Macaca fascicularis: one gene and its partners. The protein of the gene in region 4 purifies or fractionates together with the protein of the main gene of each other region. This does not show direct contact. Links are inferred from orthologs where the notes say so. Each region holds a gene or a part of one and is shown on either strand. Other genes may lie near its edges. The genes, in order: YAF2, MGA, CBX3 and E2F6.

The links.
Region 1: the proteins of E2F6 (region 4) and YAF2 purify together in Homo sapiens (affinity purification with mass spectrometry; 4 studies listed by BioGRID and IntAct, counting the BioPlex papers as one, with this or other methods). This does not show direct contact. The link is inferred for Macaca fascicularis from reciprocal best matches to the Homo sapiens genes E2F6 and YAF2.
Region 2: the proteins of E2F6 (region 4) and MGA purify together in Homo sapiens (affinity purification with mass spectrometry; 3 studies listed by BioGRID and IntAct, counting the BioPlex papers as one, with this or other methods). This does not show direct contact. The link is inferred for Macaca fascicularis from reciprocal best matches to the Homo sapiens genes E2F6 and MGA.
Region 3: the proteins of E2F6 (region 4) and CBX3 purify together in Homo sapiens (affinity purification with mass spectrometry; 4 studies listed by BioGRID and IntAct, with this or other methods). This does not show direct contact. The link is inferred for Macaca fascicularis from reciprocal best matches to the Homo sapiens genes E2F6 and CBX3.

The regions. Positions count from the first base shown.
Region 1 is NC_088385.1:48,808,620-48,812,743, reverse strand, and holds the start of YAF2 (YY1-associated factor 2), read left to right. Parts: upstream 1-1,324; 5' UTR 1,325-1,389; coding exon 1,390-1,415; intron 1,416-1,858; coding exon 1,859-1,984; intron 1,985-3,739; coding exon of another isoform or gene 3,740-3,941; exon of another isoform or gene 3,942-4,124. UniProt on the Homo sapiens protein: Binds to MYC and inhibits MYC-mediated transactivation. Also binds to MYCN and enhances MYCN-dependent transcriptional activation. Increases calpain 2-mediated proteolysis of YY1 in vitro.
Region 2 is NC_088381.1:18,265,275-18,268,835, forward strand, and holds part of MGA (MAX gene-associated protein), read left to right. Parts: intron 1-2,556; 5' UTR 2,557-2,623; coding exon 2,624-3,561. UniProt on the Homo sapiens protein: Functions as a dual-specificity transcription factor, regulating the expression of both MAX-network and T-box family target genes. Functions as a repressor or an activator.
Region 3 is NC_088377.1:104,102,900-104,106,900, forward strand, and holds the start of CBX3 (chromobox protein homolog 3), read right to left. Parts: upstream 2,844-4,001; 5' UTR 2,719-2,843; intron 2,531-2,718; exon of another isoform or gene 1,815-2,530; intron 1,300-1,814; 5' UTR 1,272-1,299; coding exon 1,248-1,271; intron 1-1,247. Other genes in the region: HNRNPA2B1 (heterogeneous nuclear ribonucleoproteins A2/B1), read left to right, coding at 3,710-3,715.
Region 4 is NC_088387.1:110,642,947-110,647,183, forward strand, and holds the start of E2F6 (transcription factor E2F6), read left to right. Parts: upstream 1-1,408; 5' UTR 1,409-1,687; coding exon 1,688-1,795; intron 1,796-4,237. UniProt on the Homo sapiens protein: Inhibitor of E2F-dependent transcription. Binds DNA cooperatively with DP proteins through the E2 recognition site, 5'-TTTC[CG]CGC-3'. Has a preference for the 5'-TTTCCCGC-3' E2F recognition site.

The DNA of each region.
Region 1 (4,124 bases), on a different chromosome or scaffold from region 4:
CCAAGATCTATCAGCTAAGAAACAGGGGAAGCAGGCTGAGAACCCTGGACTTCTGACTGTACCATTTCCTTTGTAGTTTAGCTATGAAATTATCATTTTACATGAATTCGGAATTGATGTAAACCTAGAAAGATGGACAGAAACAGCACTGTTAAAGAGGGATCTAGTTTATGCAGAAGTAACCCATGTGCATTGTCAGGAGGCAGCTTTTCTCATGGGAGAGGGATGCAGAGGTAGGGAAAATGTGTGAAGCCTTTAAATGCCAGGCTAAGGAGTGTGGGAGTCGTTAGTGGTTCTTGATCAGAGTGGTGGCATAATATTAACAGCATTTTATTATTCATCTGGTTGTGGACTACTGAATCGATTGGGGAGGTGGAAGTGGAGCTTCGGAGACCAGTTTGATGGCTGTTGCTGGAGTCTGGAGTATGAGGACCTTTATTTAGTATATTGAGGTAAAGAGACCTGGGAAGGTGTTCTTTTGTTAGCAGACAGCGTTGAGGGGACATGTAAACTCCTTATATTTAAAAAGGCCTTATGAGTATGTATTGGGTTTCTTTCAAAAGCAGCTACTGCAGAGGCCTGAGAGGCCAAAAGGGTGCCTTTGGAATTAGAGCAGAGTTAGACTCCTGGCTTTGTCATTTTCTAATTATGTAGCCCAGAGGAAGTCACCTAACCTCTCTTGAGTCTTGATTTCGATTCCTCTAAGTTAGGGGTGACAAGCCCTACTTGTTTGAGCATCTGTGTAGCGCTTTAAGGCATCTAGCAATGGCGCTGCGTGTTGGTTCCCGCCTTCCCCGTGGTGTCCTGCAGGCGGGGACTGAGTAGCTAAGGACGGCGGAGGCCAGGAAAGTCGTTCTACCTGGAGACCCCGGGCTGGCACTTCTGTCCAGACCTGGACAGGCCTCCGAATGCCAGACCTTGGACCAGGCTTCGCACGGGATGACTGAGCATCCCAAGCCAGTCGGTGGGACAGATATTTTCCTCCTCAGAGGGGCTCTGGAGCGCGCGGCAGCCCCTGGCAGCCGTGGGTACCGAGAGGGCGACAGGGCAACAGTGCGGTGAGGCGGCGCCGGCTCCCGAGGCCGAGGCGTCCACCTCCGCACCGCCCGCCGGCTAACTCGCCGCGGGTGCTGGGCCGCGCTGGCCGCGTTTGAAGTCTCCGGCGCGGCTGCTGGTTGGCGGGCGCGGGTCACGTGCGCCCAGGCAGGAGTTTCCCCGACAGCTGGAGGCTGCGTGGGATCCGGCGGCGGCTCCCGAGCGCGGCGGTGCGGCCTTCCCCGCCCCCTTCCTCCCTCCTCCCCCGCCCGCTTCCGCCCGGCTTATTATCCTCCTTATTGACAAACAGTGCGGCCGCGGCGGCGACTCTCAGCGTGCGTTGATAGCCAAGCCATGGGAGACAAGAAGAGCCCCACCAGGTAACAGCGCCCGGGCCCCGGGGCCCGGACTGTGCGGGCGGCAGGGCCCTGGTGCAGGGCTTCGGGTGGCTGCCTCGCTCGCCGCCCGGGCACCGGGGCGAGCACGGGGGCGGCGCCGCTGGTGTGCGAGTGCTGCCGCGTGAGGGGGCCGGCGCCGGCCGCCCCACAATGGAGCCGCGATGGCGGCGGCTACCGGAGCGGCAGCCCGGGTGTCAGAGCGGCTGTGGCGGCGGCGAGTGCGGCCGGGCTCGCGCCCTGCCTCTTCCTGACTTCCTTCCCCCTTGGAGCCGGAGCGCGGCGCGCCGAGGGCCCGCCGGGGGCCCGCCGGGCGGGGGTCGCGGAATTGGGGCGGGGGGCGGGGCGGGGGCGGCCGCAGGGCCCGGGCGCCGGGCGCGGCCTGCTGGTGACCCCGCGCCGCGTCGTGTCCGGGTTGTGTCCTGCAGGCCGAAGCGGCAGCCGAAGCCGTCCTCGGATGAGGGTTACTGGGACTGTAGCGTCTGCACCTTCCGGAACAGCGCCGAGGCCTTCAAGTGCATGATGTGCGATGTGCGGAAGGGCACCTCCACCCGGTGAGTCCCAGGCCTGCCCCGCGCGCCTCCGTCTGGCGGGGTGACGACCAGGGGACGCCCCTGCGGCTGCCGCCCCGTCCCATGACATTCGCGGACCCGGCGGGAGGAGGCGAGACGGAGGTGGCTGTGGCGATAGGAACTGGGTCACATTGATCGCAACCCAGGCGATGGTTTGCGGTGAGGGGTAATTGAAGAGGCTGTAAGGTTTTTTGCTGCCAAGAGAGAATAAATTATTTATGGGAGGCATTAGCTACTGCGATTTAATTCGTATCGCCGTGTGTAATGTCCCTCTCCCCACTCTGGGTATAAAAATGTTGGCTGCATTGTTGTGTTAGTGTGTAGGGATCAAGGAAAACCCATAAAATCCTCTTTAGGAGCAAAGGATGTAATTTAATTTCGTTCCTAAAAAAAGAAAACTATCTGATTGCAGAATACACAATATATTAAACTTCTTTTCTATATGGACTTCTGGAAGGGTCAGATCAAGGTTTTATTTAGTGTTTTTATTCCAGTTCTCTAATATTTTATAAATAAGTAGTTGGAGATGAGCCCAGTCACAGGAACAGATTTTTACTGAAAGTACCTGCATATCTTTAGTTTGATTAAATGGCAGTCTCTTAGACAAATGAGATGAAAAGATCTCTGCCCATTTTCAGACTTTATTTATTGTAAGCTTGCAGTATAATAACTCTGTTTTTTAAAAAACGACTTTGAATTAAGTGGATAAAGAAAATCATCCAGGAAATTCAGTCTGGCATTCTTAATCTGTCAGCACTTAGTTATCGAGCTCCTTGATTTTTATAGGAAGGTACCCTTTGAATTAAATATAATCCTGTGATTTATTACTTAATATGTAGAGAAGATATATATTTTGATGTTACAAAGTTCATTAGAGACTAAACTATAACAATAAGCATACTAATCTATCTTACTGTTGCTTTAAAAAAGGCATATATGATATTGACATATGCAAATATTCAGTAGACGTTAGATTTCTAAAAAATGTGATCTTGATTTTTTTTTAAAACACTACAGAATTTTATTAAGTTTGAAATGTAGAGACAGGAATGGTTGACAGTAACTTATTTGAAAATTTTCTCAGTGAAGCTCGCTGGCTTTGACATGCTTATTTTTTGTAAATATTATATGCTTTTTGTATATTCCCACAATGGATAAAATATTTTGTACATTTTTCATATTCAAAAAGAAAATTTTCAAACATATTCTAAATTTAAGGGATTACAGCAGAACATTCCAAAAAGAAAAAAGTATATACTAAAATGATTGTGGTTACTAATTTTGGACCCATTTATTCTCATTTACAGTGGATAAAATATTTTGAACATTTTTTATGCTCAGAAAGCCAACTTTTAGACATGCTAAATTTAAGGGATTACAACAGAACATTCCAAAAAGAAAAAAAGTATTTGCTAAAATGATTGTGGTTACTATTTTTGGACCCGTGTTTTGTGATTTAAGTATTTTGAAAAGCAGAGTATCTTAATGGCTGTGTAAGGTTGGAGTTGGTTTAGAGTGTATTTGTATATCCGTGTTAGTACTTTGTGCTTTTTAAAATGCTTAGTAAACAATATTTAGAAAATTCGTTTTTTGGAGGCAGGAACATTAAAGTGGAGACAATTATTATAATCTTGATCTCTGGTACTATATATTATTGCTTTTTGTTGTTCCCTCTCTATTTTCTTGTAGCCATTAGAAAAATACTGAAACTAGAAGAGCCTATATGTTTATTTGCAGGGACAGCAAGGAAGGGGGGAAGCTGGTGTCCTACTCCACAGCCAGTCTTGGGATTAGAGGAACCCTGAGAAATAGAGTAGGTGGTGGCAGCTCAGAAGAGAAGAAACAGGCTGAATACCTGGCACCTGGAAGAAGAAGGAATATAGTACACAGGGGAGTTGGCCCAGGACAGAGAAGTGGGCCTAGTTTAAAAGAGGCTTGAGGCCCACCTGGGGGCCCCTGACTTTTTTTTTGTTTTTAACCGGTACATCCGAGCTCTTGTAGATCCAATTTTTAGTGGTGGAAACATTACTTGAGGAGGACTCAGAGAAGCATTGTCATTTGGATTGAAACTGAAGAGGCTCTGGGCAACTCACCAGAAATCTAAGGGACACTGTGTTCCTGA
Region 2 (3,561 bases), on a different chromosome or scaffold from region 4:
TCAAAAACAAACAGACAAACAAAAAAACTTTTAAAAGACGTGTGGCATAATTTACAACTCTTCTGAACATTTTGCGCTTGATATATCTTGTAGATATTTTTTGCATGCATTCATTAAGCTTATACATTCTCTTTTATGACTGTTATCATTCTACTCTGTGGATGTGCCATCATTTGTTTTACCACTTTAAGGACTTCTCTCTTCCTGTCTAGTCTTTTGCTGTTATAAATGGGGATAATCTTGTATAGATATCATTTATCGTAGGTGTGTGTATTTAAAAGTCATATAGTGGGTTTTATCAGTGAATTAAAAAAACTTAAAGTCCTGGAAAAACTTCTTTGTTGTAGGATGATATATGGATTTGTACTTTCGATATTTTCAAGTTGCCCTTTCTCATAGAGATTCTGTTATTTTATACTCCCAGTAACTAGTTAGGGGAGAATGCTGGTTGACCTATACCCTTTCCAACACTACCAGGCTTTGATTTTTGCCAGTCTGATAAGTAAAAAAACAATCTCAAGGCCGGGCGCGGTGGCTCAAGCCTGTAATCCCAGCACTTTGGGAGGCCGAGACGGGCGGATCACGAGGTCGGGAAATCAAGACCATCCTGGCTAACACGGTGAAACCCCGTCTCTACTAAAAAAATTACAAAAAAAGTAGCCAGGCGAGGTGGCTGGCGCCTGTAGTCCCAGCTACTCGGGAGGCTGAGGCAGGAGAATGGCGTGAACCCGGGAGGCGGAGCTTGCAGTGAGCTGAGATCCGGCCACTGCACTCCAGCCTGGGCGACAGAGCAAGACTCCATCTCAAAAAAAAACAATCTCAAGATGATTTTAATTTCCTTTCCTCTTCACTATATACATATTCATAGCCATTTGCGTTTATTATCCTTTACTTATTTTTCTGTTAGGTATTTGGTCTTGTTGATTTGTAGGAAGCCTATAAAATTATTATTACTGTTAATGTATTTTTATTTTATTTTTTTGAGTCAGAGTCTTGCTCTGTCACCCAGGCTGAAGTGCAGTGGTGCCGTCTTGGCTCACTGTGACTCCACCTCCTGGGTTCAAGCGATTCTCTTGCCTTAGCCTCCTAAGTAGCTGGGATTATAGGCGCACACCACCATGTCCAGCTAATTTTTTTATGTTTAGTAGAGATGGGGTTTCACCATGTTGGCCAGGCTTGTCTTGAACTCCTGACCTCAAGTGATCTGACCTCCTTGGTCTCCCAGAGTGCTTGGATTACAGGCGTGAGCCACTGCTCCCGGCCACTATTATTTTTTAATAGAGACAGGCTTTCACTATGTTGGACAGGCTGGTCTGGGACTCCTGACTTCAAGCGATCCTCCTGCCTTGGCCTCCCAAAGTGCTGGGATTATAGGTGGCAGTCACCACGTCTAGTCTCCTTTTTATATTAGGGAAATGAGTTCTTTATAAGTTGCACATACCTTTTCCTAGTTAGTTGTTTGCTTTTTGATTTTGCTTAAATGATTTTGCCAGATTAAAAAATTTACAGAATATTACATTTTATTTTATTTTTATTTCTTTGAGACAGTCTTTCCCTGTCATCCACGCTGGAGTGCAGTGGCGTGATCTTGGCTCAGTGCACCTTCTGCCTCCTGGGTTCAAGTGATTCTCGTGCCTCAGCCTCCTGAGTAGCTGGGACTACAGGCATGCACCACCACACCCGGCTAATTTTTTAGTTTTTAATAGAGATGGGGTTTTGCCGTGTTGGCCAGGCTGGTCTCGAATTCCTGGCCTGAAATGATCCACCGGCCTTGGCCTCTCAAAGTGCTGGGATTGCAGGTGTGAGCCACTGCACCTGGCCTTATATAATATTAAATTTATCAACTTGTTTTTTTTTTTCCTGCTTTACTGGTTTTAGGTTTTGTGTCTCATAAAAAAACTTTTCTCAGGATTTAGGAATAAAAAAATTAAATATTAGGTTCATCTGGAATTTTTTTCAGTGTAAGGTCCATTGAGTTCCAGTGATTTGTCATGGCTTCTTTAAATGTGTGTAATAAGAAGTTAAGATAGCTTTTTACTTACTTATGGAACCATGTCTTCTGAACCATGTGAAGAACTAATTCTGTACAATTAGCTCTTTGGAATGAAAATGGAAATTTACTTATTTAATTTACTCATCACAGGGGAACTTGCTATATAAAGGAATCTTCTGGCAAATTAATTCATAAAGTGTTAGGATGCTTTAAAAATGCATAGCCTTCAAATTTAACTTTTTAATTTTGTATACTTTTATTTTTTTAAATAATGAATATATACTTTTGTTTCTTTGTGTGAGATTATAGTATTTATAGTGAATTGTTAGAGGATTAGGATATGAGCGACTTAATTAATTAGATTAAAATGAACTTTAAAAAATGATTAGATATTCCAGAATAAATATTCTTACTGTGATTGAAAGAAAAGCTTAGAAGCAAAGTCTTACAAGAATTTAGGAATATTTTGGGGATGACATCATTCTTGTATTTTTGTTCAAGAAATAAATACTCACTTGATTAAAGGGTGTTTTTTGTTTTTGGTTTTTTTGCTTGTTTCTTAGGATGGGAAGGCCATTGTGACTATGTGGTGATTACAGTTGTCTTACTACTGAGTTTCCTACTGAAATCATGGAGGAGAAACAGCAGATTATATTGGCTAATCAAGATGGTGGAACAGTGGCAGGAGCAGCACCTACCTTCTTTGTCATCTTAAAGCAGCCAGGAAATGGCAAAACTGATCAAGGAATTTTGGTTACTAATCAGGATGCCTGTGCTTTGGCTAGTAGTGTGTCATCACCAGTAAAATCTAAAGGGAAGATTTGCCTTCCAGCTGATTGTACTGTGGGTGGAATCACTGTTACCCTCGATAACAATAGTATGTGGAATGAGTTCTATCATCGAAGCACAGAAATGATTCTGACCAAGCAAGGAAGACGCATGTTTCCTTATTGTCGTTATTGGATAACAGGTTTAGATTCAAATTTGAAGTATATTCTTGTCATGGATATATCTCCTGTGGATAACCATCGTTATAAGTGGAATGGTCGTTGGTGGGAACCCAGTGGGAAGGCTGAACCTCATGTTTTGGGGAGGGTTTTTATTCATCCAGAATCTCCTTCCACAGGTCATTATTGGATGCATCAACCAGTATCTTTCTATAAACTCAAACTTACCAACAATACACTGGACCAAGAAGGGCATATCATCTTGCACTCTATGCATCGTTACCTGCCAAGGCTTCATTTGGTGCCTGCAGAAAAGGCTGTGGAGGTGATACAATTAAATGGCCCTGGTGTCCACACTTTTACCTTCCCACAGACTGAATTCTTTGCAGTCACAGCTTATCAGAACATTCAGATTACTCAGCTGAAAATAGATTACAATCCATTTGCCAAAGGCTTTCGGGATGATGGGCTGAATAGTAAGCCCCAAAGAGATGGAAAACAAAAGAACAGCTCTGACCAAGAAGGGAATAATATTTCCAGTTCTTCTGGTCATCGGGTCCGTCTTACAGAAGGTCAGGGGTCAGAGATACAACCAGGTGATTTGGATCCTTTGTCGAGGGG
Region 3 (4,001 bases), on a different chromosome or scaffold from region 4:
AAAGAAGTAAAAAATAAGTATAGAAAATGAAAAGGATACATACTAAGGTTAAAAAAAAGAAAAAAAAAAGGGGCAGACAAAATACCATACAGTATTTACTACTATGGCATTCATAAGCTAGTTTCAAATGCTCACCATTTTCTTTTGTAGTATATGTTTGGCTTAACCCAGTACTTTTTTCCAAATGTGGATTTGAGTCAAAATAAATTTCCCATTATTTAAGTGAAATTAACAGTACATATATCTCACAACACTAATGAATTTTTAAAATGAAAAGTTAAAAAAAGTTTTAAAGTGGCCAACCTGTGATCCCTCACAAAATAAACTATTTAAATACCAATAAATAACAGACCCCAAAGAGTATCAATTGCATGCAAAAACAAATTCTGTTTTCCAGGGTATCTGACTTAACATAGAATCTAATGATGGCACAAATTAAAAATCACCAACGTGCCCTTTCTAGTGTGAAACCCAGAGAGAACATATACAGACCAAAAACAAATGCTTTACTTTACCTAGGAGACATTAACATTCACCTTTACGCGCTTAAGATTAATGCAATATGTTGAGAGTTAAATATTGTGAAAACTGTAACTTTGAATTTCATGATTTTTATGTGAATATTCCAAGGTTTTAAAAAACTTGTAACATGACATAGCTGAAGAAGATACAAAAAATCTAGCCTTTTCTCCCTTCTGGATCGTATTTGCTATTTCGATCATTTTTTTTAAAAAAAACAAAACACCGCAATGAATTGTATTCAAGATTCTTCTATATTTCAGAGTAAGTTAAAACAAGATAAAGTGACCAAAGCCATTTGAAAGATTCACTAACTTGCTCCAACCTAGGTGCACAAGGTACCTGGTTCTTCAAATTTGGCTTTAATGAAAATACTTCTCCAGAATTCTGGGGATTTAAGGAAAATTATGCCAACCAACAAGGGCTTTATTATTTTATGTAATATTTTGCAAAAACGTGGGTATTTCTATCTGAAGATAAAAATCCTCAGCAAAATCCACATTGCACTGTCCTTCAAAGATTAAACTAGTTAAGACGCTATTAAGTCAAGTCAGCAAGTATCTCCATGTAATGAATTCGTTTTGCTCCTAATTTTCCCCTATAATTATACTGGGAGAGCTGGGAAATATGTCGATGTAAATTTCTCAACCACAAAGATGCAAAGTTATACTTTGGGGGAAAAAACCTTGGGTTAAATCCTTACATACTTTAGCTTTTCATTAACTTACCAATGTAGTTTTATTGGAGGCCATTTTTTATTGCAGACTTGAAGAACTATTACTAGAAAAATGCATGACAGTTAAGAGAAGTTTGCACGACACAAAAAAGGTAACTAAATACAAGTTCTGTTTGGATTCCAACCCCCAAGTAGGGAGCGCACATTTCAAACGTTGATACAAATCCAGAGTAGATTTGCGCTCCTACCTACATTGCTTATGATGCACGTAAGTACGTGTTCTAAACATGTGAGTCTAGAAAGACTTTACTGGGGATCTTGGTACCTAAGGCAGCTTCACATGGCTTAACATAGGGGACAAATATCTTTTCTAATCTAAATCCCATTTGTAATCAAGTCCATGTTCCATTTTTAAAGGACAATCCTTTCGGTTTAAAACCATGCACGATTACCCAAACAACTCACAACTGTAAACCCCTGTGAATCTTCTCTGTTCTGCAATCCTAAGTTTGTTTCTGCTCAGAAACCCTCTCTTTTTCCAATCAGCAGTTAACTAACTAAAGGAAAAAACTTAACGATGCTTCAACCCCGTTTCGTGACACTTTGAAGACGCAATCACCTTTTGCACACACCCGCTCCCCCTCCGCCTCCGACCCTCTCCGCTGGAGCTCTGCGTCCCGAGGCCTAAGCGCAGCTGCCCGCCCCCACCCGGGAGCGCGGGCCTCGTGGTCAGCGCATCCGCAGGGAGAAACAAAGGCCGCGGCGCGGGGGCTCAAGGGCACTGCGCCACACGGCACGCGCCTACCCCCCGCGGCGGCCACGTTAACGGGACGGCCGCCGCAACCTCGGGACAGTCGGCCGCGCGCCGCCAGGCCTCGCGGACACGGGACCACGCGCCGCCCTCCCGGAGGCCCAAGTCTCGACCCAGCCCCGCGTGGCGGCTGGGGGAGGGGGCGCCTCCGCCGGAACGCTGGTGGGGGAGGGGAGGGAAAATGCGCTTTGTCTCGAAATAGGGCGACCGTCGCCACAGCTCCCTACCCCCTCGAGGACCGAACAGTCCCCCCACTAACTGCCGGCGCCGGCCCCGAGCCAGGTCAGCCGCGAGGCCACCGCCCGACCCTCTCCACTCCTTCCCGCAGCTCCCGGCGCGGTGTCCGGCAAGGAAGGGAGGGGAGCGGAGAAGCGGGCCCCCGGGGCGCGTGCAGCATCTGATGCACCACCACCGAGCGAGGGCTAGAGAGAAGGAAAACCACCGACTTCACCGCCTCTGAGCTGCTCCGGGTCGCGGGTCTGCAGCGTCTCCGGCCTTGCGCGCCTACAGCTCGAGCCACATCCGAGGGGTGAGGGAGCCGGGAGCTGTGCGCGGGGCCGCCGGGGGGGGGAGGGGTGGCACCGCCCACGCCGGGCGGCCACGAAGGGCGGGGCAGCGGGCGCGCGCCCGGCGGGGGGGAGGGGCCGCGCGCCGCACCCGCTGGGAATTGGGGCCCTAGGGGGAGGGCGGCTGCGAAGACCGCGGCACTTACCGTTCGCCCCGTGGCGCCTGGTGGTCCCCAAGGGGAGGGAGGGGGGAGGAGGGGCGAGGACGGTAACCGGAGTCTCCTCAGCGGTGGCTTTTCTGCTTTGCAGCCTCAGTGCTGGCGCCAAAACCGGACTCCGCCCACTTCCTCGCCCCTGCGGTGCGAGGGTGCGGAATCCTCCAAACGCTTGGGGAGAGAGAGTTGGGAGCTTAAAAACTAGTACCCCTTTGGGACCACTTTCAGCAGAGACCCCTCCTGTACCCCAGGGGTCAGCTGCATAGACGCGGGTCAGGGTTAGGTCAGTGTGGCGTGAACGATAATTTGACTAGAAGTTGATTCGGGTGTTTCCGGAAGGGGCCGAGTCAATCCGCCGAGTTGGGACACGAAAAACGAAAAGGGAAGGCTCATATTATACTACGATTTTTCTGGCGGGGGTTATCAAAGGCGTAGCTGCAGGGACCACCTCCCAGGTTGAGAGGGCTGGAACTCCGGGCTCCGGATTAAGCTCCTCCCGTCGGCGTTAATTTCAAACTGCGCGACCGTTTCTCACCTGCCTTGCGCCAAGGCCGGGGGCGGGACCCTATTCCGAGAGGTAGTAACTCGCGGGACTCGAGCCTTCCGCAATTCACTGAGCGCATTTACGGAAGTAACGTCGGGCACTGTCGCTGGCCACAGGAGGGGGAGGAGTACGCATTTGGCGTAAGGAGGGGCGTAGAGCCTTCCCGCCATTGGCGGCGGTTAGGGCGTTTACGCAACGGCCTGACGTAGAGGAAGACGCGTTAGTGGGGGGGAAGGTTCTAGAAAAGCGGCGGCAGCGGCTCTAGCGGCAGTAGCAGCAGCGCCGGGTCCCGTGCGGAGGTACTCCTAGCGGTGTTGTTTCTCGAGGAGAGGCAGTTCTCACTACAGCGCCAGGACGAGTCCGGTTCGTGTTCGTCCGCGGAGATCTCTCTCATCTCGCTCGGCTGCGGGAAATCGGGCTGAAGCGACTGAGTCCGCGATGGAGGTAACGGGTTTGAAATCAATGAGTTATTGGAAAGGGCATGGCGAGGCCGTTGGCCCCCTTGTGGAAGTCGGCCGGCCGCCTCCGTGGGAGAGCGGCAGGAAATCGGACCGCTTCAGTAGCAGTGGGGCTTGAGGTTTATGAACGGGGTCTTGACCGGAGGCCTGAGCGTACAAACAAGCTTCCCCACCCTCGGCCTCCCGGCGCCATTTCCCTTCACTGGGGGTGGGGGATGGGGAGCTTTCACATGGCGGACGCTGCCCCGCTGGAGTGAAAGTGGGGCGCGGAG
Region 4 (4,237 bases):
AATAATAATACATTTTAAAAAATTAGCCGGGCATAGTGGCATGCACCAGTACTCTTAGCTACGTGGGAGTCTTAACTGGGAGACCACTTGAGACCAGGAGTTTGATGCTACAGTGAATTATGACCATGCCACTGCCCTCCAGCCTGGGTAATGGGGAAAAAAAAAAGATTAGAGACCTCTGACATCATAGTCTAGTGGGGAGCCAGCTTCTTCAGGGATTTCTCCCTGCCTCACCTCGCCCACCTCAGGCTGTGTAGAAACCCCCAGTCTAACCGGTTGTTTCCCTCCAACTCTGTACACACCACGGTGTGTTACCTTTTTGTTTCAAACATGTGCTGGCCTCTGTTCTAATCACAGCAACCTGTATCCATTAATCCATTTAATCCTCACAACAACCTTATCAGGTAAGTATTGTCATTATTCGCATTTTCCAAATAAGGAAACTGAGGCACAGGCAGATTAAGTAACTGGCTTAATAAGGTCTTCTGGTTTATAAGTAGGAGCCAGGATTTGAAAACACACCTCTGGCTCCAGCTTAATTAACATGCTCTGTTTACTTATCTGTCCCCACTGAAATTGGAGGTTGAACCTGTGGCATATCCAAATGAGTAAGTATCGCCTGTGCTCACCCCAATATCTGACACTATAGGTCCACGATAACTCATTCATCAAACAGGAAGGAGGGAGGAAGGAAGGAAGGAAGGAAGGCAGGAAGGAAGGAAGGCAGGAAGGAAGGAAAGAAGGCAGGCAGGCAGAAGTAAAACGATACCACAATGGTTTGGTTGCTCACATTTACTAAGCATCAACACTGACCCGCCTGTAAGATGTGCTAACAGAGCTCAGGAATAAATGAAGGCCGGGCGTGGTAGCTCATGCCTATAATCCCAGCACTTGGGAGGCCAAGGTGGGAGGATGGCTTGAGCCCCAGAGTTCAAGACCAGTCGGTGCAATATACTGAGACTCTGCCTCTACTAAAATTAAAATTAAAAATTAGCCGGGCGCAGTGGCGCGCGCCTGTAGTCCCAGCTACTTGGGAGGCTGAGGTGGGAGGATCGCTTGAGCCTAAGAATTCGAGGCTGCAGTGAGCCCTGACCACGCCACTGCACTCCAGCCTGGGCGACAAAAAAAAAAAAAATTAAAATTAAAAAAAGGAATAAATGAACATCTTTGCGGCTGAGAGCTTTCAGTTATCACCGTCGAGAATTCCAGGCGAGCGCTGCGTTTTCCCAGCTGCCTGTTTTCTCTCACCCCCGTTCCCTTCCTCTGGAATCCGGCTCCACCTCTTCCTTTTCCTTTGCCAGCCTCTCCGTGGATTCCGCGGTCCGGGTTTCCCGGGCGCCAGCCGCCGGGAGAGGATCGGTGCGTGGGAGCGCTCCGGCCGCGGCGGGCATGCGCAGAGGGGGGCGGTACACTGCGCATGCGGAAAAATGGCGGGCCGGGCTACTTGAGAGCCGCGGGTCTACCTCCTCCTTTCCCGTCTTCGTCGGGAGTTCCCGGGCACGTGAGGCAGTGCCGCGTTTGCTGGCGGGTGGGACGGCCTAGCCGGGCGGGGCCTTGGAGGACGCCGCGGATCCGTCAGTTTCTGGGCCCTTGGAAATCGGCGCGTGGGGGGCGGTGATCGAGCTGCGCGCGAGAGGGCGGGAGAGCTCGCGGGGTGCGAGGGGAGCGGGACGCCCGGCCGGGCAGCATGAGTCAGCAGCGGCCGGCGAGGAAGTTGCCCAGTCTCCTCCTGGACCCCGCGGAGGAGACGGTTCGCCGTCGGTGCCGAGACCCCATCAACGTGGAGGGACTGCTGGTAAGCTCCGGGACGGGAGGGGGACGGGCGGGGGTCTCCCAAAGCTGGCCCCCTCCTCCCCGCGCCGCCGCCAACCCCGCTGGCCGTCGTCTCGGTCGTCTGCTCCCCCTGGGCCAGGCGCTGCCCATCACGTGCTGCGAAACTGCGCTCTCCCGCCTTCTGCTTTCAGCATCTGTTCACAGACGTGGTGTCAGTCTTCTGGACTTTTACATCGGAACTTCAGGGCACTGTTGGAGAAAATTGCTCAACTTTGCATTGGAAAGGCCATGTTTTTCTCCTTCAGTGGACTCTAGCTGTATCTCTGCAACCTATCATTTGTTCTTCTACCTTCTCTCTCTTCTGCTCTACTGCAGCCGTTTAAAACCTTGTCCACGCTTTATATTTACCACGCCACAGCTCCCATTCATAAAATTATCTCCCCACCTGTTTGACGGAGAAAATGGTTAGGAGATTTGGCTCCCTTTCCCACAAAGACTGATTTCTTCTACTCTTGTTCTGGACCAGATACTGTATTCCCCGGTTCTCAAGGTCCTTAACAAATGCGTTCTTTTCCATTCCTCCCGTATTTTCTTTTTCTTTTTTTGAGATGGAGTTTTTACTCTTGTTCCCCAGGCTGGAGTGCAATGGCACGATCTCAGCTCACTGCAACCGCCGCCTCCCAGGTTCAAGCGATTCTTCTGCTTCAGCCTCCCATGTAGCTGGGATCACAGTCATGCGCCACCACACCCAGCTAATTTTGTATTTATAGTAGAGACGGGATTTCACCGTGTTGGCCAAGCTGGTCTCGAACTCCTGACGACCTCAGGTGATCCACCCGCCTCGGCCTCCCAAAGTGATGGGATTACAAGGCGTGAGCCACCGAGCCCGGCCTCTCCCCATATTTTCAATTTCTCTGCTGCTTTCTTCCTATAACTAGTAGTAATTAAACATTTTCCCAAGTCATTATGCCTGGTCCCCATACCAAATAGTTTGTGATTATTGTCTCATTTAATTTCTCACAGCAGTGTTTTATAATAGTAAAAGACTATTATTCTTGTTTTACGGTTGCCAAAACAGACCTGGAGATGCATGTAATGCCGGCTTGCCTGTGGCTAGATAGTAAGTGGAGAAACTTGGGTTGAACCTCCAAATGTCTAACTCCAGATGATAAATTCTTGACTACTAAAACCACATTCTCAATCCATCCCCATCTTAAAAGATCCCTCCCTTAATTCCATATCCCTTGCCATCTACTGTCTCTCTTCCCCTTCACAGCTAAACTTCTTGAAAAAGTTATTTACACTCACTCTTTCCACTTGATCGTCTCATTATCAGCCAACCCACTGCTGGGGACCCCTATCCTCAGCACACTTGTGAGACCATTCTAACCAGGGTCACCGACAATCTCGTCAATTCCAGCAGCTGTTGTAGTTTTGACACAAAACTACTTGTGTTGGAAACTCTCCCTTGAGTTTCCTTGACATTGATGTTCCATCTGCTTCTCTGGGCTCTCCTTGTCCTCATCCTCTTCCCAGTCCTTCATTTTTTTTTCCCCCGAGACAGGATCTCACTCTGTCACCCTGGCTGGAGTGCAGTGGCACATCCTGGCTCACTGCAGCCTTGACCTCCCAGGCTCAAGTGATTCTTCTGCCTCCACCTCTCTAGTAGCTGGGACCACAGGCACATGCCACAAGGCCTGGCTAATTTTTTTATTTTTAGATATGGAAGTCTTCCTGCGTGGCCCAGGCTGGTCTTGAACTCCTGGGCTCAAGCTGTCCTCTCACCTCAGTTTCCCAAAGTGCTGGGATTACAGGTGTGAGCCACCGTGGCTGGCCACATGTTGATGATATTCAGGGTTCTCTTCTGCTGTCTCTACACATTCTTCTTAGGGGAGTTCATTCTCTCCTCCCATGACTTATGTTACCGTCTACATTTGATCCTTGAACGACTCAGGGTTTGGGGCACCAAATCACATGAAATTCAAAATCTGAATATAACTTTGATTCCCCCAAAACTTTACTGTTTCCTGGAAGCCTTACTGATACTGTAAACAGTTGATTAACACATATTTTGTATTTACATGTATTAGTTAGTGTATTCTTATAATAAAGTAGCTAAAGAAAACGTTATTAAGAAAATCATAAATAAGAGAAAGTCCTACTCATTCAGGGGAATTAGATGATCGTAAAGGTCTTCATCCTTGTCTTCACACTGAGTAGGCTGATGAAGAGGAGTAAGAGGAGGAGTTGGTTTTGCTCTCTAAGTTGTGGCAGGGGGTAAAGAAAATTGGCATCTAAGTGGACCCACACAGTTCAAACCTGTGTTGTTTGAGGATCAGCTGTATATTGGTACCATCTGTATTGGTCGTCTTAATATTTGAGAATTTGATAAAAACTCTAAGCTCACTGTGGAAAAACCACTTAGTTTGCATGCAATATCAGCAGATACATCGCTTGAAATCTT